Linked DNA regions of Diceros bicornis minor. The main gene of each other region encodes a partner of the protein of the gene in region 3 in a complex. Links are inferred from orthologs where the notes say so. Each region holds a gene or a part of one and is shown on either strand. Other genes may lie near its edges. The genes, in order: SNRPD3, SNRPD2, GPKOW and SNIP1.

The links.
Region 1: GPKOW (region 3) and SNRPD3 share a complex: the UniProt entries of both Homo sapiens proteins name them as parts of the minor spliceosome. The link is inferred for Diceros bicornis minor from reciprocal best matches to the Homo sapiens genes GPKOW and SNRPD3.
Region 2: GPKOW (region 3) and SNRPD2 share a complex: the UniProt entries of both Homo sapiens proteins name them as parts of the minor spliceosome. The link is inferred for Diceros bicornis minor from reciprocal best matches to the Homo sapiens genes GPKOW and SNRPD2.
Region 4: GPKOW (region 3) and SNIP1 share a complex: the UniProt entries of both Homo sapiens proteins name them as parts of the minor spliceosome. The link is inferred for Diceros bicornis minor from reciprocal best matches to the Homo sapiens genes GPKOW and SNIP1.

What each region holds. Positions count from the first base shown.
Region 1 is NC_080774.1:28,860,901-28,868,792, reverse strand, and holds the start of SNRPD3 (small nuclear ribonucleoprotein Sm D3), read left to right. Parts: upstream 1-4,879; 5' UTR 4,880-5,236; intron 5,237-5,306; exon of another isoform or gene 5,307-5,400; intron 5,401-5,586; exon of another isoform or gene 5,587-5,671; intron 5,672-6,912; 5' UTR 6,913-6,930; coding exon 6,931-7,056; intron 7,057-7,892. Other genes in the region: protein GUCD1, read right to left, coding at 773-857, 4,142-4,184. UniProt on the Homo sapiens protein: Plays a role in pre-mRNA splicing as a core component of the spliceosomal U1, U2, U4 and U5 small nuclear ribonucleoproteins (snRNPs), the building blocks of the spliceosome.
Region 2 is NC_080773.1:19,907,280-19,914,609, reverse strand, and holds the start of SNRPD2 (small nuclear ribonucleoprotein Sm D2), read left to right. Parts: upstream 1-4,324; 5' UTR 4,325-4,417; coding exon 4,418-4,419; intron 4,420-6,061; coding exon 6,062-6,241; intron 6,242-7,330. Other genes in the region: QPCTL (glutaminyl-peptide cyclotransferase-like protein), read right to left, coding at 1-50, 1,727-2,008, 2,749-2,892, 3,387-3,596. UniProt on the Homo sapiens protein: Plays a role in pre-mRNA splicing as a core component of the spliceosomal U1, U2, U4 and U5 small nuclear ribonucleoproteins (snRNPs), the building blocks of the spliceosome.
Region 3 is NC_080781.1:42,340,984-42,347,831, reverse strand, and holds the start of GPKOW (G-patch domain and KOW motifs-containing protein), read left to right. Parts: upstream 1-3,840; 5' UTR 3,841-3,878; coding exon 3,879-4,054; intron 4,055-4,830; coding exon 4,831-4,985; intron 4,986-5,084; coding exon 5,085-5,209; intron 5,210-6,848. UniProt on the Homo sapiens protein: RNA-binding protein involved in pre-mRNA splicing. As a component of the minor spliceosome, involved in the splicing of U12-type introns in pre-mRNAs.
Region 4 is NC_080752.1:51,594,310-51,602,171, reverse strand, and holds the start of SNIP1 (smad nuclear-interacting protein 1), read left to right. Parts: upstream 1-4,851; 5' UTR 4,852-4,902; coding exon 4,903-5,129; intron 5,130-6,628; coding exon 6,629-6,731; intron 6,732-7,862. Other genes in the region: DNALI1 (axonemal dynein light intermediate polypeptide 1), read right to left, coding at 1,001-1,170, 2,983-3,128, 3,663-3,743. UniProt on the Homo sapiens protein: Required for pre-mRNA splicing as component of the spliceosome. As a component of the minor spliceosome, involved in the splicing of U12-type introns in pre-mRNAs. Down-regulates NF-kappa-B signaling by competing with RELA for CREBBP/EP300 binding.

The DNA.
Region 1 (7,892 bases), on a different chromosome or scaffold from region 3:
TCAGAGCTCCCACTCCCCAGAAGTCTCCACCCTTTGGCATGAAACCCTATGTCCTGCCCACATACTGCCTGGACACAACCTGAGGCTGCCTGGGGTGCCATGCTGACCTCGGAGTTGAGGGCCTAGATTGTGCTTCTTGAGTCTCTTGCAGGCTGTGTGACTTTGGGCAAGTTGCCGCCCTCTCTGGCCTCATTAGCTTTGTTTCTAGGATGAGGTGCTTGGACCACGTCAGTGATTTTCTAAGTTCTAGGCACAGACACCTTTTGTTGAACCTTTTCTTGCCTGGAACTCCAAGATATAAAACAGGTAAGGGAGAGGCTTCTCTGGGGTTCCAGGCAGCCACCTAAAAACTCTCCTACAAGGACATGGCTATGGTCCCTTCAGGCTCTGATGGTCAAGGTTCCTGTGATGTTCACACAGCCTCAGCTTAGCAGTCAACTCCCCAGTGACCCAGTCTCCCAGGAGCCCGAGGCTGGAAGGGTGGAGGGCCCTCTGTCCCATCATGGGGTGACTCTGTGGGCCAGGCCTAGGCACCTGGAACTTCCCTGACCATCCCCAGAGCCCTCAGGCATTTCCAGAGTGGAGACCTGGAAGGCCTGGTCCACTTCTTGTTTTTGCAGATGGGACTAAGCCTGGTTGGAAGCTGAACTTCCCACAAGCCCCAACAAAGGACAGCCACATGGATGATGAATCCCACCCAGGTCTCTCCCTCTGTCTTCCCCAACCCGGAGAAGGTGGTGTGGATGGGGAGGGCCTCAGCCTGCCCACTCACCGCAGCACCATCCTGGAGCAGGCCAGGCCACAGTCCCAGTGGTAGAGCTGCTGGATGATGGGCACGGGCAGCTGCACAAAATCCCCTGCATGGAAACACAGGGAGGTCACAGACCCTTGGCATAGTGCCCACCACTGCTGCCCCCATTGGAGCCACCGTCTTTGGCTCCTGCCCAGATCTTGCAGGGGTTGTTCAGGGGCCAGCCCACAGCCTTTCAGGCCCCCCGACCCTTTCTCCTTACAATAGCAGTGATCTCCCAAAACACCAGTCGGAACAGCTCAGCCTGACTCAAAATCCTCCAGTGGGTTGGTTCCCATATCTCTTAGGACAATGCCTTCAAGGCTGCTGCCCCAGCGCCCTCTGCTTCCTCACCTCCCCTCATCCTCAACAGGTCACCCTCCAGGCAGACCTTCAGCTGCTGTGATCCCCTATGCCTCTGGGCCTTTGCATACCTACTCCCTCTGCCTGGACTCTCTTGGCATCACAGGCGCCTGAGCTAACTCCTGTCTTCGGACGTCACTTCTCCACGACGCTGCCCGTCATGCTCAGCCCCCCCACTCTGTGCACTCTCAGAGCAGTGGGAGCTCCAGGGAGGCAGAGATAGGGCCAGCACATGAGAGGCACTCAGCAGATATTCATGTCTGAATTCACGAGGCCTCTGGAGGTTTGCCTGACTCCAAAGTCCCCTGGGCCAACAATGTGTGAAGACCATAGTTAGGAGGAAGGGACTGTAAGGTGATCAGTGTATGTGGAAAGCTATCCTCGGCAACCGCTCAGTCTGTCCTTGCCAAGCAGTGAGGCGGAGCAGAATGGGCCAGACCTAGGCATTCTAGCCCTGGCTCTGTCACTGGCTGGCTGTGGGCTGAGTAGCTGACTTCCTCTTGCTGGTCTGGGTCTGGCCATCTCTAAAGTGGGGGACTTTGGTCTGATTCAGCCATTCGATCAACAAATATTTCCCAAGAGCCTGGCACATAACTGGAGATACAGTGGTGAGAGACATAGACAGGGCCCTGTCCCGGTGGACAGCAAAAACAGGCAAGTATAAGAGAAAAACAGGGGACTAGACTAGGGAAAAGGGTGAGGTGTGCCTTAGAGAGGCAATGCTCAAAGTCTCCTCCTCTAAGAGGCTTTTGCTGACTATGCCTTTGCTGTAGGGGGGGCCCTCCTTCACAGCATCCTGTTTGTTTCCTTCACAGTACTTAATAAAAGTAACAACAAAAAAAAACTAAAGCTACTTTGTCTCCCCACTAGACTATAAGCTTCCTGAGGGCAGAGAATTTGCTAATCTTGTTCACTGTTATTTCCAGTGCCTAGTGTCTAATGCTTAGTAGTAACTCAATAAACATTTGTTGGAAGAAATGAACTTATTAAACACCCACTGTGTGCTAGCCTCTGGGGACACTAAAGGTGACCAAGACCCAAGCCCTGTCCTCCAGGGATTCATATTCTAAAATAATTCCCCCCAATGAGCTGAGTGGAAGGAGAGCTCTAAGTAGGGTGCTGTTCCCTCATGGTGGGATACCTCCCTTATCAAGAACCCCTCACTGTGGCCATAAACTGCCCTTTTTGTTTTTCTCTACACAGGCTGTTTACTCCTCAGCCTTTGCTCTTGCATATCCCTTAGTCAGACTGTTATCTCCCATCTCTGAATGTCCAAATGCTCTGGTTTCTTTCCCTCTCTGAGCCCTTCAATATGGAGTATTTGAGGTGGTGTCTGCCTTCCCCACCAGACAGGCCAAGAATTCCTCAGTGACAGGCAGGGACAGGGTTGCATTTGTCTCTTCCCAGCCCTAGGCCCAGTGCAGGCATTCATACATGCTCGGTGATTGGAAGGCGTTTTTCCAAAAAGGCCTTATCCCTTGCGATGTCTACTTGTCACTGCAATGCTCCCCCACCCAGGCTTCCAGACTATGGACCTCTGTTCACAGCTCCCTACTTACTTTGTGGCCTGGGCTCTCACATCAGCTAGCTGGGCCATCTTTGGCCAGGCTTTGACTCTGTCTGTGCCTTCTCCTATGCCTAGCTGTAAATGTGGCATAGGACAGCTCTCTGTAGGGCCCTCAGGAACTCCACTGCCCCTCCTCTTCTTGCCCCAATCCCTAAAACACCTTGATCCTGAGACCCGGCAGGGCTATACATCCCCACCTGACCATCCCAGTCTTGGCAGGGGCAGGTCAGCCCAATGGAACTCAGAGATACTCCTGTGGGGAGTGATAAGGGTAGGTGAGGCCTTCCAAGCCCAAAGCTGCTGCCAGTTGTTGATGCTTGGAGCCAAGGGACTGTCTCACCTGAGAGCTAGCGTCTGCCTGGAAGGCCCTGGCCTGGCTTCAGTTGGCAGGTGTCGCCAAGGAAGGAAGGCAGCTCACTGGCCCTGGATACTTAACCCCTCAGCCTCAGTCTGCTCATCTGCAAAAGCGCAAATAACGATGGTAACCTACTTCATGGGGTCGTTATGGGGATTAACGAGGCACTGCATGTAAACAATTTAGCACAGTGCCTGCCCATAGAAAGCTCCCCACGAATGTGAGCCATTACTCCACGGAGGCTCAGGAAAGGCAAGCGCCTGGTCCAAGATCACAGAGTTGGAGGAGTAGGGATGCAAATCCCAGGACAGCATCAGACCCTACTCCTTGTTGTAATCACAAAAGAGACCACTCCCTAGGTGGGACACCATGGTCCCACTGATGCCTTAGGGTGGGGCTGGGCATGCTCTTGACCTCTCCCATGAGCTGGTACCTCACTTTAAAGTTTACTAGCTTTAGAGTTTACTTTCTCTTTCTCATCAACCCTACACCTCACCCGGAGCAGGAATCACTACTTCCTCCCCCACTTAGAGAAGCAAACTGTGGCCCACGCACTGGATGTCAGTCTTGGTTTCCGCCCTAAAGGAACTCAGACCACCTTGGGGCAGAAGGAACCAGAGGATGAGGACTGTAGCAAGACTAAAGGCTAAGCCGGGGAGGCCAGGGGAAGGGGACCTCCCACTGCTGTGTTCTCGGCCAGCTCCCCGCCCTTCTAGGCGTCAGTTCTCCCACAGTTCCCCTAGGGGACAGGATCTACCTGCGGCTCCAGCAGGACTTTTCGCTTCGGGGAAGGTGGCGCCCCTGCCTCACAATCAGGACCCTCCCATCACGACCGCTATCAGAACTACTGGGGTCCCAACCCTGGGAGTAACAGGAAACACCAACTGATGGCAGCTGGGGAGAGTGGGGGCCCAGGCGGGAGTGTACACCTGGCCAGGTTTCACTCAAAGCTCTACAGCCTGAGGCGGCGGTCAGCCCAAGGTCGCGCAGCCAGACCCTGCCCCGAGCTAGGGCGGGGTCCCCTCGTTCCCCGGGGTGAGGGGTGGGCCCTCGGGGAAGCACTGACCGGACTCGAGCGGCGCCCCCGCTGCCTCCGCCTCCGTCCTCATGACCCGGGCGGCGCGGGGCGCCCATGGCCCCGGCCCGGCGCCGGCTGCAGCTTCGCCTTTGGCTGGGGCGCGAGCGGGGCCGGCGCGTGTCGTGCTCCTCTGCCGCCACTGCCACCGCGGTGGGGAGAAGGGGAGGCGGCAGCTGTGCCGCCCCAAGCCCCGCCCCGGCCCTTCCAGGCCTGGGATCCGGGGGCCCGCCCCTTCATTAAGCCCCTCCCCTCCCCTCCCCTCTCCCCGAGTCCTGTTCTTAGAGGCCCCCAAGCCTCCTGCTCTAAGCCCGCCCCCGCCTTTCGCTGTCTCGGCTTCTGGTGGCCCCGCCCCTTTCCCAGCCCTCGCGCAGACGCGCAGGCCCTTCTCCGCCTCCGTTCCCCGGAAGCCCCGCCCCTTTCCTGAGCCCCGCCCCTAACCCCAGCGTTCCAGGAACATTGGCTCCCCAGAGGCTCTTCCCTTAGCAAGCTCCGTGTCTGCCCAGCCCCAGCCTCAGGTCTAAGGTCTGGTCCTGCCCCATACACCGCGGGCCTCGGGAGACCACGACCCTGGGCCTGCCCCCGCTCTACTCTATACCTGTTTCCCTATCCGTACGGTGAGATAGGTCGCCTCAATCAGGACGCCCCTTACCTAGAGGTGCCGGGTTCCAAAGATTAAATTGTGAGGGGAGGTCTTGGACCCTCGGCCCCACTGCCTGCCGACCCCGATCCCCGCCTTGCGGTGCAGTCCGTCCCTGGTCTGGGGTGCTAGGAAGCGCGAGTCGTCCTCTCCCCTTGCCGCCCCGGGGGTCGGTGTTTCCGGCAGTACCTGGGCCCGGTCATCAGCCGTCCATTCCGGGGCCGGAACTATCATACTAGAGCGCACGTTTCCTAGCCGGCGGAGTGAGGAGGAAGGAGAGACGAGACCGCGGTCACCGCTAGGAAAAGGAAAGGGGCGGGTCCTGCGCGAGGCATTTTGGGAACGCGTGGTATTCTGGGAGCGCGGGCCCCGCCATTAGTTCCCCACACGCTTACGCGTTCGCCAGAGTCCCTGCCGCCCTAGAAAGGAAGAGGAGGCCGGAGCCGGTGAGGAGAGGCCGGGGGCGGGCGAGGGTAGGCCGAGGCACCCGTGAGGGCCCGGGGGCTGGGGAAGGAGGCGCTGCCGACGAGCTCTGCAGGGCTCGAGGAGGGAGAAGAGCGGAGAAGGCTGGGCCACCCGAGCATCAGCGGTGCCTCCCTAGCGCCTGGAAGTGAGTTCATTAGCTTTTCCCCAGAGTACATGTTCTTCGCCTTCTATACCTCTCCAAGTCAGTGTTTTTCGAAGCATCCAGGCAGTAGTCTTGAAATCATTCCTGGCTGGTTGCCTCCTTCCCCAAATCCTACCTGGGTAATCTTTTTCAAAGTTCTTTGCATCTCTGCCTCCATCCCCCTTTCAGCCGCTGGTCCTCTCCTGCTTTCCACGCTGTTACAGAAGTTCTGTCAAGTTTCCCTGCTTCTAAACCGTGTTCGATCCATTTTGTTGTAAGTGCTGCTGCCTTTTCATTTGATCATTCCTTACCTATAATCCTGCAGTGATTCCCCGCTGCCTTCAAGTATAAAATCTAGACTCCTAAAGCTCCTCACCAAGGGAACTTGTCTTTCCCAACCTCGTGTTCCCTTTCCTGTCTTGACCACACATAATATGTTCCAACCTTCAGTCGTTGCTCACCTTGGAATAAAAAGTCCACTGCTTGTCTCTTCTGTGACATCAAGTCAGTCACTTACCCTGATTATATTTTTCCTACCTGGATTTCCTGCACATTGTCGCTTTGTGAGCACTTTGTATTTTCTTTTTAGCCTTGATGGTGAAGTAAGTGGAGGGTCATGGGCACTTAATGGGTTGAATTGAATGCACAGCCTCTTCTACCAGATTTGCCTGGATCCTTTGGTCTGTATCTGAATTGCCTGATACTGTACACATGTGCCCAATACTAGTACCCACATGTAGCCACTGAGCGCTTGAAGTGTGGCTAGTGTGACTGAGGGACTGAATATTTTAATTTTATTTCATTTTGATTGAGTTTAAATAGCTACATGTGGACTGTGGCTACTGTATTGGACAGCTCAGGTCTATGTCATGAGTTCTCAAAGTGGTGTTAACCACAACTATGGGTTGACAGATACCTTGTATGCACGTTCATTCCAACCCCCTTTCCCCCAACACACAGTATGGTTAATGGTTATTTGATGAAGATAAAGGGACATATGGTAGCAGGGAGGGAGATGGAAAGTACTTTCTTTTCATTCCCAGGCCCCCTCTTTCCCCCTACCCCACATCTTGCATGTGTTTGCCAGATAGGGTCCTCAAGCTAGGAGTTAAGCTCTATTTTTTTTTTTTTTTTTGGTGAGGAACATTGGCCCTGAGCTCATATCTGTTGCCAATCTTCCTCTTTTTGCTGAGGAAGATTGGCCCTGAGCTAACATCTCTGCCACTCTTTTTCTATTTTGTATGTGGGACGCTGCCACAGCATGGCTTGATGAGTGCTGCATAGGTCCGCACCTGGGATCCGAACCTGTGAACCCCGGGCCGCCTAAGCAGAGCATGCAAAGTTAACCACTAGGCTACTGGGCTGGCCCCTTAAGCTCCTTTTTTCTATAGAAAGTGCAGCTTTGGCATTTTTACTAAGTTTTATGGAGTGTCAGGCCTTGAGGGAGGCATGGTGTGTGCTACATGCCTTCTCAGGCTCTGAAAGATGGACTAACTGTTGTCTGTTTCACCGTAGAACTCTCTTCCTGCCAAGATGTCTATTGGCGTGCCCATTAAAGTCCTACACGAGGCTGAGGGTCACATTGTGACATGTGAGACAAATACCGGTGAGGTGTATCGTGGGAAGCTCATTGAAGCGGAGGACAACATGAACTGCCAGGTATCTTGCTTTGCACATGAGGCTGGGGGGAAGCTTGGGCCTCTGTCTTGGACAGAAAGATGGTGATTGGAGGTCTTTTTGAAGTTGTTCTCATTCCTCGGTTATTTATTGAGTGCCTGATGTGTGTTAGGAACTGTTATAGTGGCTGGGCATTTGGGCATAAATAAGAGCCATTGGGAATATTTAACTTTGTGCTTTGTTTTCTCCATCCCATAATCATTTTCTTCCATATTTTGGAGACCTGTTTAGGAAACATAGCTCTACTACCTTCAGTAGAATCCGTCAGGATCGGGGCCATTATCCATTTGCCCCTACACATTTGCGTAATGCTTGGTGCTAAGCAGAATCTTACACTCACGTGCTATGTTTGCCATTTTTCTTGGAGGAGGCATCTTGTTTGATTATAGCAACTACCTTGTGAGGTAAGCAGAATTGGTGATAGGTTTGTCATCCGTATAGTAGGGAGAATAAGATTAATAGACTCATCTACTGAATGTCAATCTGCTAATAAATGTTGGGGCAGCTTCCTGATACAATGCCCTTCCCGTGGCACGATTTTGTTTGCCTTTTGCTAATAATCACGTGAGTTTGTATAACATTGCTTTACAAAGTGTATCAGCACACTTTCTCTCTTGTTCTTTAAACCATCACATGTGGGTTTAAATCCTAATTGTCTAATCTTAGGCATGTTAATCACCTCAGTTACCTTATCCGTAAAATGGGAATGGTGTTATTTTGAGTTGTCTGAGATGTAGATGCCAAGACAAAATTAGTTGTGCAAGAGACTTATTGGAGGAACTGACAATAAAGGAGAAGGAGTAGGGGTAGGCAGGAGA
Region 2 (7,330 bases), on a different chromosome or scaffold from region 3:
AGCGCCTCCTCGCCGTCCAAGAAGAGCAGCTGCAGGGTCACCGGGGCCGCCTGCGGGAGCCGGTGGTCAGGACCAGCTCGCTGCCGCCCCCGCCTCAAGCCACCCACGTGGCTTTCCTGCCCGCGTGCACAGCTGAGTGGGGCAAACCAGCCAAGAGTACAGACTCTGAACCAGGCCGCCTGGGTTCAAATCCCGGCTCAGCCGCTGCGTAGCCGATGAGCCATGGGTAAGTTACTAACTTCCCAAAGCATCTGTTTCTTTATGTAGAAATGAGGTTCATCCAGGTCTAATCACAGGGCGGGATTCGAATCCAGGTCCTCGATCAGTGTCTGGCCTATAGTAACTAAATAAGGGTTGGCTCTGATTATTTTCATTATTCCTCAAGCTTGTTTAGCGAAAGAGACAGACCTACAAATGAATAATTATACAAACAGTGAAATGCAGTTGAGACACATGCTTCCGAGAACTACAGGGTCCTGAGAGCGCGTAGGAAGGGGGCGGAGGATAACCTCGCTCAGGAAGCACATCTGGGTCTGTTGGGAAGGGATGTTCGCGTGGAGAGTGAGTGGGAGCTGGTCTGGCAAAGTGGAGCAGAGGGAAGAGTGTTCCCAGGCAGGGAAGCAACATGGAGCAGGGCTGGGGCGAGAGGGGTTTGAGAAAAGGCCCGAGGGTTCAGCAAGGGCCAGGGAGCTTGGGGCACTGGGGTTTGAGCCATGGAAGGGGCTGAGCAGGGGAGGAGCGTGAGGGGACTTGTGTTTTCGTTCATTCATTCCATACATTTTTTTTTTGTGAGGAAGATCAGCCCTGAGCTAACATCTGTGCTAATCCTCCTCTTTTTGCTGAGGAAGACCGGCTCTGAGCTAACATCTATTGCCAATCCTTCTCCTTTTTTCCCCCAAAGCCCCAGTAGATAGTTGTATGTCATAGTTGCACATCCTTCTAGTTGCTGTATGTGGGACGCGGCCTCAGCATGGCTGGAGAAGCGGTGCGTGGGTGCGCGTCCAGGATCCAAACCCAGGCCACCAGTAGCGGAGCGCGTGCACTTAACCGCTAAGCCACCGGGCCAGCCCCATTCCATACATTTTTATTGACCTCCTCCTCTATGCCAGGCAATATTCTGGGCCCAGGAAATACAGCAGGAAACAAAAGCAGCTAAGTCCCTGCCTGTATGGGGCTTATTCTAGTTGGGGAGAAAAACAAGTCAACATAAAGCAGCATAAAGCATGAGATAGTGCCAGGAGCTATTTTAGGGGGGTTGGGAAGGCCTCTTTGAGGAGGTGACTTTGGAGTGGACACCTGAATGAGGGTGGGAGCCACCCAGGAAAATGTCTGAGAAAAGCACATTCTGGGCAGAGCAAACAGCAAGTGCAAATGTCCTGCGGTGAGAGTGAATTTTGTGGGTTTGAGGTACACAGATGAGGTGGGTGGCTAGAGTGGAGTGAGCGAGGGGTGAGAGGTGGTAGATAAGACTAGAGAGGTAACAAGGCACACCTCATGGGCCACTATAAGGACTCTGGCTTATGCCAGAGGAGTGAGGTGGGAGCCATGGAAGGGCTCCCAAAGGGCAGAGGAGGGACAGGATCTGACATTCAGAAGGTGGAAAGATCCCTGTGGCTTTGTGTGTGGAGTAGAGGCAGGAAGACAAAACCAGGTAAGGGAGGGTGGTGGCTTGGACCAAGGTAGAGGCAGCCCCGACTCCCACCCTTCCCCTTCCCCCACTCCTCACCTGATTCTTGGCTCTGCTCAACTCCAAGTCAAGGGCTTGGGCCAGCTCCAGGAGCAGGGCGCAAGGCACAGCTGAATCTGTGGCCCCCACGAAGGGGGCTGACCCAGATGGGAAGAGCTTGGAGTCGTAATGGCAGGCAAGGGTGAGGTGACGGGCAGCCCCTGGGTCAAGTGTGGCCACCACGTTGCCAAAGTCCAGTGGCCCCAGGGGCGTCGAGGACGTGAAGGGGTCCAGCTCCACATGCCAGCCTGCCGTCAGGGCCCGAAGCGTGGCCTCCAGGAACTAGTGGCGAGAGAGGCGGGAGGGTGGGCGGGGACTGGGGAGCAGGGCCATGTGACCTGAGCCGTGCAGAGCAGCCAGGTTGACTCACAAGTCCCACTGTGGTTTAAATCATTCCCTTGACACACTTCTGCTGAGTCTCTACTGAGTGCCAGGGGTGGGGTGATCCCGCCCCTTGATGCCAACAAGATTAATCACAGCTCCCTCTTCAATAGCACTAGGAACCCTGTGGGGTAGGAACTGTCAATGGCTCCATTTTGCAGATAAGGAAACAGGCACAGAGAGGTTAAGAAACGAGTCCAAGGTCACACTCCAAGTGGCTGAGGTGAGATTTGAACTCAGGCAGTGTTCACATGACTATCCATGCTTTCTGGGAAGCAATATAGAGATGTTACAGCACCAGCTCTGGAACCAACCTGTTTGGGTTGAAACCCTAAGTATACCATTTATTAGCTGTGGGCTTTGGACAAGATGCCTAACTGCTCTGGGCCTCAGTTTCCCCATCTGCATAACGAAGATCACATTGGTACCCACCTCACAGGGCTGCTGCTTGTGCCTAGCACATAGCACGTTTTCGGTGGGGGCAGTACAGCCTGGTGATTACCAGGTGGGACTCTAGAGCCAGATTAGCTCCAATCAGAGCCCCAGCTCTGCCTCTTAGCTGCTTTGGGATCTTAGGCAGAATGCCTATCTCCTGTTCCCTGGCGGGCTGCGGATCAGGGGTTGGAGGCGGGGCCCTTTACCTTTCTGACTTGGAGATTGCCCGGGCTGCCCGGGGTCCGTACAACCAGCAGGGGGCGCAGATAAGCGTTCCAGAGACGCTGTGGGTCCAGTCGCCCCACCACCTTCCGCAGCCGGGCTTCGGGGAGGCTTCCGATCAACGGGCCCTTGGGAGTGGGGTGGGATGGGGCAGAGAAGAGCAGAGTGTGATAACAACCCCCATTCCGACCCTACCCCGGGCGCCGCCACCCCTAAGAAGCCCCAATTCCTCTCGCTAATCGCGGTCTCTAGCATCGGAGGTTTCTAGGATAAATTCTAGACTCAGGAAAAGTCCCTCCAAGCCCATCCGGTCCAGCCCACCCCAACCCTGATGGGGAAATCGAGGTCCAGCGAGAAGAAGGGACTCCGCCAAATAGCTGACTTTAGGATTAGAACCCAGAACTCTGTCTTATTACTCCAGACCCTTCCTCTTAAAGCGGAGCCACTGTTACAGAACAAGCCCGAAGCTTCATTCCATTGGCAAGGGGCGTGCGATCTAATGACCGAGACAGTGGCACCTGCGGTTAGGGCCATACGAGAAAGCCACGTCAACCTGAGACCTTAGGGAAGGGGAGCCGGGGAATGAGGGCCCCCGCGGTGCCCGCCCCCCGCCCGGCCTCACCCGCAGCTCCCGGGCCGGCGGCGGCTCCTCCGTCCGGCGGTGCCAGCCGCTCCAGATGGTGTAGAACGCCCAGGCCACGGCCAGCGCCAGCAGCAGCAGGGGCAACAGCGGTACCCGCGGTAGCAGGCGGCGCTTGGGCGGTGAGGGTGGCTCCAAGAGGCCGCGTTCTCCGGGCCGTGGCCGGGGCCGCCCGCGGCCCCCGGAACGCATGGCAGCTTCGCCCTGAAACCGGTCCGGGACCGCGGATAGAATTTAGGCCAAGCCAAGTCCCACCCCATGAAATCAGCGGACCAAAGAACAAGAGCGGCTGAACCATCCGACCCTCCTGCCAGCACTGAAGCCAATGGGGACTCCCGCTCTGAGGACACGCCTCCCCGTCTCCCGCGGGCTTTGGGGTTGGTTCCCCCGGAGGGCTGCACAACCCAAAAGGGAGCGCGGAAGGGGTGGACTCCGCCTCAGCGGAGGAGGAGAAGCCAATGAGAAGCGTTTGATCACGTTAAACAGGCGCCCTCCGGGGCGCAGGTCCACGCCCCTCCGGATGTAGGCAGAGGATTGGTTACGCGGAGTCGGAAAGATCAATAGACACGTAAATAACCAGCCCCCGAGGGGAAAGGGGCGGTGTCCATCCCTGAAGCGAGGAGCGGATTGGCTTCGCGGAGGCCGCGCCCCCGGAGGCAGGGCCGGCGGGTATTTGGAAACGGCGTGTCCTTTCCCTCCTTCAACCTGTGCCGTTCTACGACAAAATGGTTTGGGTCGAACCCGCTTTCTTTTCCTCTCCGTGGTCGTGAACATCTGCCCCATACGGTCCCGAATGGCCTCGAACCACTACGCAGCACTCGTCTCCCGCCGCTGGGCCGGGCGGGCGGGGATCGCTATGGCAACAGGCCACGCCCCCAGTCGCGGGTTGGGTGTGCGCAGGCGCCCACGGAAGTGGGCTGCCGGAAGCGGAAGTCCCGCCTTTCGCTCTCTCTTTAGAGGCAGAAGCAACGCGGAGAAGACGGGAGTGCGTTGAGAACGCAGTCACTGCCACCATGTGAGGCCGGGCCGGGCTTAGGTGGCGGGAGTGGGGTTGAGGGTGTAAACTGGGCCGCTTACCGGTGGAAGGGGGTGGGCAGAGCGGGGGGCGGGGGCAGAGAGTTTAGGGTTAAAGTGGCGTACTTTTCTCCTGATGAGTTTGCGCACGGGCGTGGGGCCTTTGGCGGATCCTGACCTCGGGAGAGGGAACGGCTTTATCAGATAACGGGCGAGGGCTTTCCCAAATGCTTAGTCTTGTTGAAATGAATGTTAAGGGGCAGTGATTTTACGAATAAAGACCCTGGGAGAGGGCAGTGCGGACTTGTAGGAATAAAGGTTTGAGGTAAGGGACTTAACCGGATCTTATGAGCTTTACGACCTAATTCGCGACTTTTACGGATAACGAGTCCCCGGAATGATTTGACTTATTTATTCATTTAGTAATTATTTATTGACTGCGCATGTATCAGGCACTGCTTTAGATACATCAGTGAGTTGTCTCCCTCCCAAAGAAAAAGTCCGCCGCTGCAGCTTATGGGGTGGGAAGAAGCATAAGTGTAATGATAATAAACAGGTAAAGTATATGGTGTGTTAGGTGACCAGGGCTATGGATGAAGAAATAATGGAGCAGCAGAAAAACAATGGGGAATGCCGGTTTTGAGAGACTGAAGGACACAATGAGGAGGCATCACTTGAGCGAAGACCTGAAGAAAGTGAGAGAGCGAACCACAAAGATACCTGGGCGGGGGGTTGCTAGACTGAGAGAAAAGCAAATGCAGAGGCCCAGGATGAAAGTTTGCCTGATATCTTCAAGGACCGCGGAGGAGGCCACTGTGGCTGGAACAGCCAGAAGGGGGCAGATGTAGGGCATTGTAAAAACGTTGGATTTTACTTTTTACACCAAGAAGGGAGCCATGGGAGGGTTTTGAAGAGTGAGATGATATGACTTAAGTCTGGAGAACAGACTGTTGGGGAGCATGGGTGGAGGCAGGGAGACCAGTAAGACCCTAGGAGAGAGATGACGGAGCTTTAGGCCCTGGTAGGAAATGGTCAGATTCTGGATATATTTTATTTTGTCGTTTTCTGGATATATTTGAAAGGCCCATGACAGGACTTGCTGACAGATTGAATGTAGGATGTGAGAGAAAGAAAGAGAAGAGTCAGGTCGGTCCTGTGGCGTAGTGGTTAAGTTCCATGTGCTCTGCTTTGGCGGCCCAGCTTCATGGGTTCAGATCCTGGGCACAGACCTACACCACTTGTCAGCCATGCTGTGGCAGCAACCCACATACAAAATAGAGGAAGATTGGCACAGATGTTAGCTCAGGGCTAATCTTGCTCAGCAAAAAAAAAAGAGAGAGAAGAGTCAAGTTGGCCTCAGAGTTTTTGCTTAAAGAGCTAGAAGGGTGGAGGTGCCAGTGACGGAGATGAGGAAGGCTATGGATAGAGCAGATCGGGGTGGTTGGGAGATCTGGAGCCCAACGTAAGAGGTGCAGGGTTAGAAATGTCGGTTAGGCAGCCTAATGGTGCTGCCAAGCGAGAAGACTGAGGTGGGGGGGGGGTTGGGGGGGTTGGGGCAAGGTCGGGAGGCCTGAGCACAGGCCATGACCACCCACGCTCCAGCCAGGCCCTCTCACTCACGGGTTCCGTGCTTGCCCACTCAGGAGCCTCCTCAACAAGCCCAAGAGTGAGATGACCCCGGAGGAGCTGCAGAAGCGGGAGGAGGAGGAGTTTAACACGGGTCCCCTCTCCGTGCTCACGCAGTCCGTCAAGAACAACACCCAAGTGCTCATTAACTGTCGCAACAACAAGAAGCTCCTGGGCCGTGTGAAGGCCTTCGACAGGTGAGCGCCTGGGTCTTGGGAGGTGTTCCGTCCAGGCCTGGAGAAGCACTGCCAGCTGCCCTATAGGGAGCTGGAATAAAGCATTTCTCAGAAGCCCGGGGCATAGTATCTCAAAACCCCGAAGTGTGACTGTCCCCCATTGCCCTTCCAGCTGTGAAGTGCAGTGGTTATGGCCACGTACTTGGCAGCCAGTCCTCCCGGGGTCACGCCCCAACTCTGCCTCTTAGCAGCCATGTGACCTTTGGCAAGTGACTTTCATCCATACAGTGGCAGTGATCATGGTGGTTGCAAAGATTCAGTGACTTAATATAGGTGAAGTTTAGTGGGTCATTAGAAGTACAGCATCTGGCGCACAGGATGCTCCTGATCCTTTTTTGCAGTTGTGACATAGCGTGTCCGCCCGTGCCGGGTACTGTGTGAGGCTCTGGAGATATAGCAGTGACTAAAACAAACCTGGGTCCTATACTCAGGGAGCTTATGCTGTAGGTAAGAAAGCCAGCAGCAAACACATAAATAATGTGTCATAAAGACAGATGATGACAAGTTGTATGAAGAAGAGTAAAGGTAAGAGGGTGGAGTTCTGAGAAGGGGGTGCTGTCTTAGATGTAATCAGAGAGGTCTGGTCGGAAGAGGCAACAGTGAACAAGTTGAATAAAATGAAGGAACAAGCGGGGCCAGCCCCGTGGCGTAGTGGTTAAGTCCCGTGCTCTCCGCTTCAGTGGCCCAGGTTTGCAGGTTCAGGTCCCAGGCGCGGACCTACACCACTCGTCAAGCCATGCTGTGGCAGCAGCCCACATAGGAAATAGAGGAAGGTTGGCACAGGTGTTGGGTCACGGCTAATCTTCCTCAAGCAAAAAAAAAAAAAACAAGATTGGCACAGATGTTAGCTCAAAGCGAATCTTCCTCACCAAAAGAAAAATAAAGGAGCAAGCTAGGGTCTGAGTGTTTCAGGCAGAGGGAACAGCAAGTGATTTTTCCTCTCTGGGCCTCAGTTTCCCTATCTGCAAAACGTGCATCATCATAATACCCCTCATTGTACAGTTGTGCAGATTAAACGTTATTATGTATGAGAAATACTTGGCTCAGTAC
Region 3 (6,848 bases):
CTCAAACTTCAGTGTGAATCAGGATCACCTGGAAAGCTCGTTAAACACAGATTGCTGGGCCCTACCAGAGTTTCTGATTCAGTAGGTCTTGGGTAGGGCCTGAGGATTTGCATTTCTAAGGAGTTCCCAGGTGCTGCTACTGCTGCTCTAGAAAACCACTGCTCCAGAGTAGCTCTGTGCAATAGACATTTAATAAGAGCTACAAATGTGAGCCGCATACGTAATTTTAAGTTTTCTAGAAGCCATAGTAAGTAAAAAGAAACAGGTGAAATCAATTTTAATTACATGTCATTTGACCCAATAGATCCAAAATATAGTCATGTACTGCGTAATGATGTTTCCGTCAATGACGGATCTCATATACGATGGTGGTCCCATAAGATTAGTACCGTATAGCTTAAGTGTGTAGTCAGCCATACCATCTAGGTTTGTGTAAGTACACTCTATGATGTTCACACAATGATAATATCACCTAACCACACATTTCTCAGAATGTATCCCTATAGTTAGGCAACGCATGACTGTATTATCATTTCAACATTTAATCAGTATTACAAAAGTTATTAATGACTTATTTTATTATCTTTTTGGAGGATTAAATCTTCAAAATCTAAAAAAAAAAAAAAAGAAAAAAGAAATACCATATGATCCAGCTATTCCACATCTGGGTATTTATCCAAAGAACATGAAAACACTAATTCAAAAGGTATATGCACCTTTATGTTCATTGCAGCATTATTCACAATAGCCAAGACGTGAAAGCAATCCAAGTGCCCATCAATGGATGAATGAATAAAGATGTGGTATATATGTACAATGGAATACTACTCAACCATAAAAAAGATGAAATCCTGCCATTTGCAACAACATGGATGGACCTTGAAGGTATTATGCTAAGCAAAATAAGTCAGGCAGAGAAAGACAAACACCGTATGATTTCATTCATATGGGGAAGATCAACACATAGACAAGGAGAGCAGATTGGTGGTTACCAGAGGGGAAGGGGGTAGGGGGAGGGCAAAGGGAGTACAGGGGCACATGTGTATGGTGACGGATGGAAACTAGACTTTTGGTGGTGAACACCATGCAGCTATACAGAAGCCAAAATATAATGATGTACACCTGAAATTTACACAGTGTTATAAACCAATGTGACCTCAATAAAATAATACATTACAATAAAAAAGTGTCTTTTCTCCCATTGCATTTTCACCACAAAGTTTTGGTGGTGAAGCAACCCAGGGTAGCTTGGCGTGATCTCCAAGGTATATGTCAGGAGCAAGCCAGAGACCAGGTGTGAACCAGCGGAGAAGGCAAGACTCTTTCAAGGACCTCTGGCCCCAGCCTGTATAAGCCTGTATCGTGCACACTGCCTCAGGTGGCTGCTTCAGGAAGTGAGTATCACTTCAGCCTTGGACAGTTAGCCTCCCAGGCAATGTTCACATCATTAGTAGTAAGATATAATGTCATGAACCGCCTGATATGATGTGATGAGAAGAGCACATCACCTCTGTGGCGTTATTGCCAAAAATCCATAACCTCAGTCTAATCGTGAGGAATCATCAGATAAGCCCAAATTGAGAGACATTCTACAAAATAACTGAACTGTACTTTACAAAAGTGTTAAGGTCATGAAAGACAAGGAAAGACTGAGGAACTGTCATAGACTAGAGGAGACTAAGGAGGCATTACAATTACATGTAATGTGTAATCCTAGATTAAATCCTGGAATGGATAATGGTCTATAGTTTAGTTAATAGTATTGCACCAATGTTAATTTTCTGATTTTGATAATTATACTATTGTTATAGAAAATGTTTAGGAGGATCTGGATAAAGGATATACAGGAACTCTCCATACTATTTTTGCAACATTTCTTTAAGTCTACATTTATTTCAAAATAAATATTTAAAGATTTTTGGTTTTGTCGTTGTATATTGAAAACCACAGTGGCTTCACCTTTGAGATTCCAGGGCCCATCCCAGGATGTCTCCCAGGATGCTAGGGACTTCCAAGCCTGGAAACATGGCCATGAGATTGACTGAATATTGGGCTTCCCGTGTTCAAGACCATCCCCTCACCCACCATACTACTCTACTTTCCAAACATTATGACTATGTCCCCATTTAGTTTAATTATATTTATAGCTTCACATTTATTTATTTATTTATTTATTTATTTATTTATTTATTGTGTGTGTGAGGAAGATCAGCCCTGAGCTAACATCCAATCCCCATCCTCCTCTTTTTTTTTTTTTTTGCTGAGGAAGATTGGCCCTGAGCTAACATCCATGCCCATCTTCCTATACTTTTATATGGGATGCCGCCACAGCATGGCTTGACAAGCGGTGCATCGGTGCGCGCCCAGGATCCGAACTTGCGAACCCCTGGCCGCCACAGCGGAGCCTGCGCACTTAACTGCTTGCACCACCGGGCCAGCTACAATAGCTTCACGTTTAAAGGCTCTAGGAGGGCCGGCCCGGTGGCTTAGCGGTTAGGTGCGCACGCTCTGCTGCTGGCTGCCTGGGTTTGGATCCCGGGCGTGCACCGACGCACCGCTTCTCTAGCCATGCTGAGGCCGCGTCCCACATACAGCAACTAGAAGGATGTGCAGCTATGACATACAACTATCTGCTGGAGCTTTGGGGGAAAAAATAAATAAATAAAATTAAAAAAAAAAGGCTCTAGGGGCCGGCGGGTGGTGAAAACGGTTAAGTGCGCACGCTCCACTGCGGTGGCCAGGAGTTCGCAGGTTCGGATCCCGGGCGTGCACTGACGCATCGCTTGCTAAGCCATGCTGTGGCGGTGTCCCATATAAAGTAGAGGAAGATGGTCACGGATGTTAGCTCAGGGCCAATCTTCCTCAAGAAAAAAGGGGAGGATTGGCATCAGATGTTAGCTCAGGGCTAGTCCTCCTCACACAAAAAAATTAAAAATAAAAAAATAAAGGCTCTAGTATATTCGTTCCATCCAAGGCATGTGCTATAATTAATTTACCCTACTCCCTTCTGTTGTTCATTTAAGTGGTCTTCAAGCTTTTCCTACTATAAATAATACTATGATGAATCTCATATAAAAATCTTTTTGCACATATTCAATGATTTCTTTGGGATAAATTTTTAGCAGATTTGTAGTATTCTTTTTTGTGACTATTTGTTTAAGTATCAATCTTTTACTTTACAAACTCCCGAGTAGTGGGGACTACAGGCGCGTGCCACCGCACGTGGCTTTACAAACTCTTAAGGTCTTACACAAGAGGAATCTGTCTCAGTAATCTTTTGAAGCCTTAGAACCTGGATCTCACAACATATTTAATATCAGTAGGAAATATTTTTTTAAAAATATCCTTTTAAGTGTCATTGTTTCCCATTGGACTCCAAGCTTCTAGAGAGGAGGAGGTCTATTTTATTAATATTTGAACCCAGAGCTTGTCGAGTATTAAATGTAGCATCGGTAGGCACCATTTATATGTCTATTTATTATTGTACACAAATTAGCACTCACAGATTTTTTCCTTACTGATTTATTTTACCTACACTTCCCACACCAGTAGGGCACGGTAACGTGTACACAGTAGGCGATCAATAAATACTTGTCAAACGCTTACACGAAGGAAGGAATACCTGGCAAGAATGGCTCCACCTTCTACCACGCCTACCTCCCTGAAGAACTACATTTCCCGGTACGCTTGGCGCGACACGCTCCTACGAATTAAAAAGAGCGACAATTACTTCCTACCGACCCCTATCCGCCTCCGCCTGCCGATGCCGCAGTGTTTTATGGGAAAGGTAGTTCTGGCACGCGTTGTCCGCCCCCGGAAAACTGAGCCCAAACTAAACTTCCCAGCAAGCAGCGGGCCGGCCTGGGAAGAAGGGAAAGATGGCAGACGCCGAGGAAGGAGTTTTGCGGCTGGCGGGAGCCTCCAATGCCCCAATTTCATTCAGCTTCAGTCGCACGTCCGCCCGGAGACGGCTGGCGGACCCGGGAGATGGCGCAGGTGCAGCTCCGGAGGAGAAGGATTTCTTGAAGACCGTGGAAGGGAGGGAGCTGCAAAGGTGAAGCGCCGGGTCTTTCATCCTTTGGAAATCCGTGCGGTGGGTGCAAGCAGGAAGGTGGAATCTGAGTTGATTGTGTTGGTGACAGTGACCTGAAAAGGCTGAAGCACAGCCTGAGGAAATTCGTGGAGGCAAGAAGGCGAGAGTTTGTAGGAGAGGTGGGGAAATATAGCCTGATGGCCTTGGGGATTGAGAAGAGAGAATGTATTCTTGAGGAGTGTCTTTAGGACTTGGGGACCCTGAGGTGTGTGCGTTCTGAGAGCAGGAAAGGAGGGGAGAATGACAGGACCCCAGCGTCTCAACTGAAGTGGTGCTTCTCCGATAGGGGGAACGGGACGGAGCAGCAGATTCAGGTTGGGGGAGTCCATCATCAGCTTAGTTCGGGAAGGAGAATCTGAGGGAGGTACTTCCAGAAGAGAATCAACCATCCAGGAGGCTGGCGTGGAGCCTGGAGCTGGGGAGAGAGTCTGGGCTGAAGATGGTGATTTGTGGGTTATTGTGGAAGCCATGGAAGTGGGTCTTGGGAGGAACAGAAGGTCCAGGACTGAGGACTGATTCCTCAAAAGCACTGACATTTAAGAGTTGGACATGGGGAAGAGAATCTGAAGAAAGCACCATCAGAGACGTAACTGGAGAGCCAGACAGGAGAACGGAGGGTGTGGTCCGTGGGGTTGGGGGAGAGTTTGGCTCTTGTGTTTTCTCTGAGTGAAGCGGTGTGGCTCAGAACCTACTGACAATGCTACTCTCCCAACTTCACCCCTCTGTGTCCACGTCAGTGTGAAGCCTTCAGAAGCCCCCAAGGAACTCATCATCCCTTTGATCCAGAATGGCCATTGCAGGCAGCCACCGACCCAGGCCCCTAGGCCATCCACAGATACTGAGGCCTTGGCGGATGGGGTGCTGTCCCAGGCTGTGAAGGAGCTCATTGAGGGTGAGTGATCTCCCCTTTGCCTTGCCCCAGTGAAGGAAGAAGGGGAGGAAAATGGAAGGATAGAGTGAGACCTCATTGCTCCCTCCCATTCTTCCTTAGAATCCAAGAAGTCTCTGGAGGAGAGAGAGAATGCGAGTGTCGACCCCACGCTCGCTATCCCCATGATCCAGAAAGGATGCACCCCCAACGGGGAAGAGGCAGACGGCGAACCCCGGGCTGAGACAGTGAGCTGGCCCCAACCCCTCTCCTGCCCCAGCCTTTCTTTGCCCTGTCTGCCAGGCTTGCCTCCCTGCACACAGCAGGGAAAGTCTGTGTGTACTAGCCACCTGCTGCCTATCCCCTCCTCCTTCCATCTTTTTTGGAAGCATTAACAAATGAATCCAAATACTGAGGCGTGAAAAAGTAGTTGGATTCTGGGATTATCTGAATGACATGAGGAGTAAAGGAAACAGGAAATATAAAGACCCTGAGGATAGACTCTTCCTGGGGTGTTTGAGGAACACCAAGGAGACAAGTGTAGTTGGAGTGGAATGAGTGAGGAAGAGGAGGAGTAGATGAGGTCAGAAGTGGGGGGCTAAACCAGGCAGGGCATTGTGGGCCATGGTGAGGACTTTGGCTTTTACTCTGAATGAGATGAGAGCCATGGGAGGGCTCTCAGCTGAGAAGAGATGAGACTTATGATTTGACAGGATCTCTCTGGCTGCTGTGAGCAGGACACACTAGTAAGCAGAAGTGGAAGCAAGGAGACCAGTAGTCCAGGCTAGAGATGGTGGTGACTCAGACCACAGTGGTAGGAGTCAGGCCTGGAAGGACAGGTAGGGTTTAGTGAGACAGGGAAGAGCAGGATGAGTACTCCTAATGGCAGCGATGACCCAAACAATGGTATGGTGGCAGGAAATCAGTGTGGTGTGTGTCTGTCAGTGAGGCAACTTGTGGTGTGTCTGGAGGGACTATAAAGAATTGAGGGAGTGATGATGGGAGGTGATAACCGGAGAGATGAGGGGCGTGTCTACAGAAGTAACCAAGTCTGTCTTGCATACCCATAGACCCCACTTTCACCTCTTCACTCACAATCTTTTTGCAGTGCTTCTTTGGAGCCCAGTTCTATAGCCCCAGACCACCTTCTCTTTCAACTGAATTGTTTTCATCAGCCTTCAGATGTCCTCTGGTTTCTTTTATCTGAAAAAAAAAAAGACTTGCACTTCACTCTCCATTCTGTTCCAGTTTGGTCTCATTTCTCTGATCTTCCCTCCTTTCGCAGCCTTCCACATCTGAATTGATCACAGTTCCAGCCACCCTTCCCCTCACTCAGCCTAAAACCTTAGAGTCACCCTTGACTCCCCTGTTTATTTTATACCCCATAGACAACCTGTCAGCAAAATCCTATCATCTCCCTTTTCAAAATACATCCAGAATCTGACCACTTCTCACCATCAGCACCACCACCACTCTGGTCTGAGCCACCAGCATCTCTCATCTGGACTCTTGAAGTTACTTCCTCACTCGTCCGCCTTGTGGCTGCCACCCTCTTGTGGCTCCTGCCCAGCTCTCCTGATTAACCTCTTACCACCCCTCTCTGCCTCCACATCTCTGTTTCAGTCAGGTTGACTTGCGGGATGCTCTTCATACATACCAGATCTTGTCCTCCTTTAGGGCCTTGGCTCTTACTGTTCTCTCTGCGTGGAACACTCTTCCTTCTCATATCCTCGGGCTCCCTCTGTCATCTCCTTCTGCTCTCTGCTCAGATATCAACTCAGTGACACTCCCTTCTTCATCCCTCTGCGTGCCCTTAAGCTGCATTATTTTTCTTCATATAACTCACCACTACCTGACGTATCGTGTTTTGTGTCTTTTGTTTATTGT
Region 4 (7,862 bases), on a different chromosome or scaffold from region 3:
GACAGGCGGGAGCAGAAATGCACCACGTCTGCTGCAAACCACACTTCCCACTGGGAAGGGCTCTAGGGTGTGTCCTCCTCACTTGGAGTCAGGCCTCAGGGAGTGGCCTTGAGTGGCCCCAGGAGCCCTGCCATGCAGCCACCACTCTGAACTTGGCTCTTGGGAGCACAGGCAGTCAACAAGCCCCTTGTGGCCAGGGCAGAGGGAGACAGGAGCCCTAGGTTTGTTTGCAGCCATGGGGCCCCTCTCTTCCATCCTCAGCCAGAAACTGGGTACTATTCAAAGAAAGCTGCCTTTTTCAATTTGAAGATGGTGGCTGTTTTAAAGTGGCTGGGAAATCCCCTTGGCTGGACTGGGTTGGGGCTGGCAACAGCGGGGTCTAGAGCTCGCCCACCCGTCTCCTCCATCAAGGCTGACCTGGAGGGCCAACCATAATCATACGCCGACTAAAGGGAGCTGCTAGACTCTGCAGCTGCCTCAGGGTTTGGAGGTGGTTTGCATGTCAGAGTCCACACCGGCCGGTGAAAGTGGGCGAGGGACAGAGACATTCGACACCAGCACTTGTGGAGGGAAATCTTAAATCCTTTGTATCCGTCGGTTAACAACACATTACCCTGAAATATTTTTCTGGACCAAGGGCCAAATGTTGATAGATGGATATAAGTATAGAACATTAATTTTTCTAATCAAAAAATTAACACATGCTTATTATAGAAGTCTTGGAAAAAAACGAAGATTTAAAATGGAAGTTCTCATCTTACTCCAAACAACTGCTGCGGGATGAAGAACCAGGTTGTCAAGTGGGGGACTGGTAGGTGGGGGACAGGTAGGAGAGGTGGGGCTGGACGGGGAGGGGGCGCATGTAGCGGTCCCTGGGTGGGAGGGACCAGATGATTCCAGGATGGGATAGGCTGTAGCTCGGGGATACTCAGGGCTTGGGTCTGTGCTGAAGAGGAAGGGAAGGAGGCAGGTGTCCCGTACCCCGCCCCCAGCCACTCACCGAAACACTGCAAGTAGAGCTCCCGGCGGACAGGGCAGATGCCGGTCTCCCTGGCCTGCCGCTGCTGCAGCTTCAGGTCCAGCTGTTCCTGCAGGTGCACCACATCCATCCTGGTGCTGGGGGTGCTGGACACCTGCTGGATCCATAGCTGCGTGTCTTCTACCCACTCCCTGCGGCACAGACACAGCCAGCCTGAGCAAAACCCATTGACCAGAGAGGGTCCTCGAGACATGAGCAGAGAAGGCCCTTTGAGCTCTCTGCCTGAGAGGTGTGAGGGACAGCTCTGTCCTCGACCCACCAGAATCTTCCATCCTTCTCTCTTCCTTGGGGAGTGTGTGGTTTCAAGGCCACCCTCACTATGCTGCCTCCACAAAGCCTCTACCTTGGAGCTGGGCCATCTCCACTCTCCCACAGCCCTCCATGAAATCATCACCCACGTTCCAAATCTTACCCTCTTTACATGTTGAGGACAGACTTATGGTCGTTGTTGATCTCAACAGAAGGCCCAGTGGGAATTCTCCACTGACTTGTCGGGTGGGAGACACAGGGCACCACAAATCTTGTGCCAGCCAGAAAGAGGCAAATGTGTGTACTGGGGAGAGGGGAGGTTCTTGAAGGTGTGTGCCTATGTGGGCCTCCCCACGATGAACCTTGTATCAGAGGCATGGCCAGGTTCCAGAATTACAAGGAAGGAGCCTGAGGATAGAACCGCCATGGGGGAGAGAATTTCCAGGCATTGGTAGGAGGGCGTCAATTGAAAAATCACCCACTCCCCTCTTTGACCCCCTTCTCGGAGGAAATCGCAGTCTCTCTTTTACTGTTTCTCCTTTCCATCATAGCCTTAAAAACTGTGCTATCAACTTATTACATAAAAATAGTCAAAAAGGCATGCCACATAGTGATAAATGTGGCTGTAGAAGAGAGAAGCCAGGTAAGGGGATGGTGAAGAAAGAAGGCGCTCTTTTACAAGGATGCTCAAGGAAGGCCTCCTTAAGGAAACGACATTTGAGCAAGACCTGAGTGAAGAAGAGAACCAGGCAGATATCAGAGGAAGAGTGTCATTGGCAGTGAGAACAGCAAGTGCCAAGGTCCTGCGGTGGAAGAGCGATGGAAGTGTTTCAGAAACAGCAAGCAGAGGCCTCTGCGGCATTAGCACAGTGAACAAGGAGGAGAATACCAGGAGATAAGATCCTGGGTCTATCAGGAGCCAGATCACGCCAGCTCTTCCAGGCCACTGTAAGGACTTTGGATTTTAGCCTGAGCGAAATGGGAAGCCATTAAAGAGTTTCTAGCAGAAGACTGGCATGATCTGACTTATGATTTCAGGGCAGTGTGCAGATTAAATTACAGGGGCAAAGAGTAGAAGCAGGGTTTTCAGATAGGAGGCCATTGCAGTACTGCAGGTGACAAATAGTGACAGGAACAAGATGGTGGAAGCAGAGGTGGTGAAAAGTGGCTGGATTTGGAATATAATTTTAAGGTGGAGCCAAAAGAATTTGATGAAGGATAGGACATGTGACATGAGGGACCAAAAGGAATGGAAGGTGGCCTGAGCGCCTAGTAGAAAGGAGAAGCCTGGGGACGAGCAGGTTGGAGGAGGAAGAAATTGTGATTTAGTGTGGACATGCTGAGTTGAGATATCTATTAGACATCCTCATGAAGATAATGAGGAAGCAGTAGAACATATGGGGCTGGAGTTTAGGGGATAGGACAGAGCTGGAAATGCACATTTGGGAGCCATCAGCGTATAGATGGGATCTAAAGCCATGAGCCTGGGCGCGAGCCCTCAGGAGATGAGGATGGATAGAGAAGAGGTCTCCTCCCACCCTCTCAGCATCCAGCCATCTGCAAGCTCTAGGAGCTCTGGGATGCTGGGAGGAAATCCCAGCCAGGAACAGAGACAGACTGCCTCCTCCCACATTCCCAAGTTCTAGGATGCAAAAGCCTGGGCCTTCTCCCAGACACTGCTCCTACTTTTTTACCTTGGGGGCAGGATGGCATTCAAGATTTCTTCAGCCTGCTTTGTAGGATCTGGGACACAGGAAGTTGAGGGGACCTTGGTTTTTGGTGGCTGCGGGACTGGACCTGAGGGTCCAGGCTGCTGGGGGCTGACTTTCAGTGGCCGAGCCTGAGAAGAAGGGACAAGTTAGGGCAGGAGGTGACAGACACTCAGCTCCACACATCCTGGCCTTCTGGATTGCTCCAGGTCTCCTGCACATCGTCCCCTATTCCCAGCTCACTTTCCCCACCTGTCTTCTCAGCAGAAGTTACATCTCAGAGCTGAAGGGGGCCATAGCCTCTGGTCCTACCCCAACCCAATGCTTGTATCTCCTTGAAGTGATGTTTCTGGCACGGGTGCTCAAGCCTCTGCTTTCACACCTCTAGTGATGGGTGTGAAATCACTACCAGATCTATTTTGGACCCAGCTACCATGAAAAAGAGTAAGCCCCATTCATCTCCCTGTGACTTCCTTCCCCATTCTAAATCTGCCCTCTGGGGTTACCCAACATCTGGCCTTCTTGTAACGCTCTCCCACACTCCTTCCCCCGTTCCAAGTCCCTTTACTCCCAGCCTCTGTCCCTCGGGACTCCCTATCCTCAACGCGGGGTCTCTCTTCTCATTGGAGCTTCGGGCTCCTCCGCCCCCTGAGACCCGTCCTTACTTTGGGACTCCGTTTCTCCGTGTTCCGGCTCACCAACACCGGGGTGTCATACTTGAGCAGAGAGTCCGCGGGGGGAATCATGGCGGCGGCGAAGGTAGTAGCCCAGCGGCGGCCCCTCGAATCATGGCCCTGTTTGCCATCACCATGGAAACCTCTCCTAGCCTCATGGCCTGGGCGGGGCTTCGGGGTGGGGCGGGGCCAGCGGCGCGGGAGTTTCTGCCCAGCTTTTCCCGTGCTTCGCTTGTCAGGCCTCCTGCTCGCCGGGTCGCATCGGTACTCTTGGAAGCAGAGAAAACGGATTCGAGTCCCTGCGCTGCGTCTAGCTCACAATTCGAATAAGGTGGCAGATCACCTTCGCTGACCCCCGATTTTGTCACCTGCAAAATGGGAGTCATCTGACTCCTCAGTGAAGGATTGAGAAAGATTCCCAGAGGAGGGCCTCTGGAGTTCCCCGGTTTTAAAAAGTATTTGTGGGGGCCGGCCCCTTGGCTGGCGGGCTGCACTTCAGTGGCTCGGATCCCAGAGCCCGGAACCCGCAGCACGACCTACACCACTCCTTAGCCATGTTGTGGCAGTGCCCCACATACAAAATAGAGGAAGATTGGCACAGATGTTAGCTCAGAGCAAATCTTTCTCACACCAAAAAATAAATAAATAAAATAAAAAGTATTTTTTAATTAAATGGAGAAATGACAACATAAAAGAAAGTTCAAGAATAGAGGGGAAATACTAATGATTTGCCCACAGGCTATCACCTATGATTGCATTTCCTTCTCTTCTCCTTTCTTTCTCTTTTCAAACGTAAACATAGCCACAATTTTGTATCCTGCTTCTTTCGTTTAACAAACCAGGGTTTTTTCCATTTGTCATACAGTTTGTAAATAGCACTGCGAATGGCGACATACATCCATCAATCGGCTAAACAATTTCCCACCGCTGGGCATTTCGGTTGTCTCCGTGTTTAGTAATTACTAATAACGCGACAACAAACAGCCTTGAGAGTAGCTTTTTCGCAGAAGTTTGCTTTTGAAACTCAAAACTCCCGCCACCTGAACCGGGTCCCTACGGCCCCGCCGACTACGGAGTCGTGGTCACGTGTCTAGCCCCTCCGCCGCGAGGGTTTCTGGGAGAGCGCGCACCCCGGAAGCGGAAGTGCGGGGGGGGGTGTAAAGCCCGTCATTTCCTTCAGCGAGAGGAGCACAACGGACGTATTTTCGCTTCGCTCAGCGGGTCTCTCAGCATGAAGGAGGTGAAGAGCGAGCGGGAGCGGGGGAGCCGGCGACGGCACCGGGACGGGGACATGGTGGCGGCGGCGGCGGCCGTGGTGGTGAAGCAAGAGCGACTCAGCCCGGAAGCAGCGCCCCCCGCCCACCGCCGTCCGGACTCCGCCGGCGGGAGCCCGTCCCCGCCGGCCGGCGAGCCAGGCCGCCCGGGTCACCGCGGGAACCGAGCCCGAGGAGGTAGCCGGTAAGTGGGAAGCAGCCCGGGGTGGACCTTACGTCGGGCTCTGAGAAGGGAGGACAGGGCTAGCGTCAGAAGCACACCTTGAAGCGAGGGCAGCAGCTTGGACTTCATCCTAAGGCGGTGGAAGTGACCCGCTAGTGCTTGGGTTAAATGTTTACTCCGGTACCTGTCACTTGCGTTATAGCTGGGCGTTAAGCGGCTAATCTAACGAGCAGGGTCCGCCCCTTCATCTCTGAGTGCGCAGCATTTCGCGGAGTATGGCCCAGCAGGTAGGACTGACCATTTAAGTTGAAATGAAAGATTTTCCCCATGTGACTGCAAATGGAGTGCGGGCGTTGTCTTTTCAGTCATCTGCCCGGAAAGGTTTACACATCGAGGGCCTAGGCGATCTCCCTGATAGAAATTCTGGAAAAAGAAAATTGTTTTCTACTGGATTGGCTCATTTATTCATTCATTCAACATAGTTTTACCGAGTACCTGTTATGTGCTCAAGACTGGGGCTGTAAGGGTGAACAAGGTAGGTGGCCTTTACCCTCGCGAAATTTGATGTGCTCTAGCCCTGAGACAAAATAACAAGCAAATAAAATAGTTTCAGTTAATGACACGTGTTAGGGATAGGTTAAAACAGTCATGTGATAGTGAGAGATTGGAGGGAAGTGGGAGAAGGCCCCTCCGAATAGGTGCCATTTGAGCTGAGACCTGAATGATAATAATCCAGCCATGTAAAGATGTAGGCAGAGGAAACAACATGTGCAAAGAACCTGAAGTAGGATGAATTGTAATTGTTCTAGAAATAGGGGGGAAAAAAAAACAGCAAACCCCAGTGTAGTGATCAAGAAGAGTGGTAGGAATGAGGTGGGAGAGGGAGGAGATGGAGCCGGAGCTGATGGGTTGAATGTGATTGTGGGGGAAGAGTAGGGAGTGGCTGTTGGTGGTGAGGAAAAAGAAAATCAAGGGTGACTTCTAGGTTTTTGGCTTGAGGAAGAGGGTGGATGGTGGTGCCAGTTACAGAGATGGCAGAGAGGAAAGACAGAGAGGAAATTTTTTTTTTTTTTTTTTTTTTTTTTTTTGCTGAGGAAGATTTGCCCTGAGCTAACATCTGTGCCAGTCTTCCTCTGTTTTGTATGTGGGACGCCACCACACCATGGCCGATGACTAGTGGTGTAGGTCCGTGCCCAGGAACCAAACGTGGGCCACTGAAGCGGAGTACGCCGAACTTAACCACTAGGCCACGGGCCTGCTCCAAGGAAAGGTTTTTGAGGGGTTGGGAATCAAGAGTTATGTTATGTAAGTGAGAATATTCAGTAGGCAGTTACATATGTGGGTCCAGGACTCAAGGGAGACGTTAGGACTAGGAAACAGAAGCTCCTGGCTCCTTTGTGTGATCGGCAGAGACCTTCACAAATGTGTTTGTGTTAGTAGGTGAGCCTGATAGTTGCAGCTAATTTGTGTGGAGGAAGGGAAATCGAGATAAAATCCTGTGTGTCCCATGCTCTGAAAAGGTCCCCAGCCAAAAAGAAAAACAAGTCCTCAGGGAGAAGAAGCAAGTCTCCTAGGAGTAAGAGAAGCCGAAGTCCTCACCACTCAACAGTCAAAGTGAAGCAGGTAAGTGGATTGAAATGTTTTGACACTAGGTGCAAATCTAGAGCCTCTTCCCATCCTAGCTGGAGAGTGTTGTGTATGTGTTCACCTGTACCTGCCGTGGGCTTTGCTAAAAACTGGTTTTGTTTTTGGTTTTTTTTTCTGCTTGCTTTTTTAAACTGAACTTTTTATTTTGAGATAGTTGTTGATTCACAAGCAGTTGTGAGAAATAATACAGAGGTATACTCTTCATCCTGTTTCTCCCAAAGGTAACGTCTTACAGAATTATAGTACAATATCGCACCAGAGTATTGACATCAATACAGTCGAGGTACAGAACATTTCCATCACCACAAGCATCTCTCATGTTGTCCTTTGTAGTCATACCCTCTTCCCTCCCACCCATACCCCTCAACTCCTGGCACCTTTTTATCTCTTCTCCATTTCCATAATTCTGTTGCTCAAGAATGTTATATAAATGGAATCATACAGTATGTAATCTTTAGGGACTGGCTTTTTTTACTCAGTAAAATTCTTTGGAGATTTGTTCAGGCTGTTGCATCTATCAGTAGTTCATTCTTTTTTATTGCTGAGTGGTATTCAATGGTATGGATTTAACCATTTGCCCATTAAAGAACACCTTGGTTGTTTCTAGTTTTTGGCTATTACACATATGGCTGCTGTATAAACATTGGTGTGCAGGTTTTTGTGTGAACTTAAGTTTTCATTTCTCTGGGATAAATGCCTAGGAGTGCAGTTGCTGGATCATATGGTAGTTGCATGTTTAATTTTTTTTAAGAACTTGCCAAATTGTTTTCCAGAGTGTCTGTGTTAGTTTGCTAGGGCTCCCATAACAAAATACCACAGATCGGAAGGCTTAAACAACAGAAACTTATTCTCTCACAGTTCTGGAGACTTGAAGTCGAAGATCAAGGTGTCAGCAGATTTGGTTTCTTCTGAGGCCTTTCTCCTTGGCTTGCAAATGGCTACCTTCTCGGCTGTGCCCCCCCATGGTGTTTCCCCTGTGTGCTAATATCCCTGGTGTCTCTTCCTTTTCTCATAAGGACACCAGTCGTATTGGATTAGGACCTCACTTTCATTTTAACTTAATCCTTTAAAGATCTTATCTCCAAAAAAATGGTTATATTCTGAGGT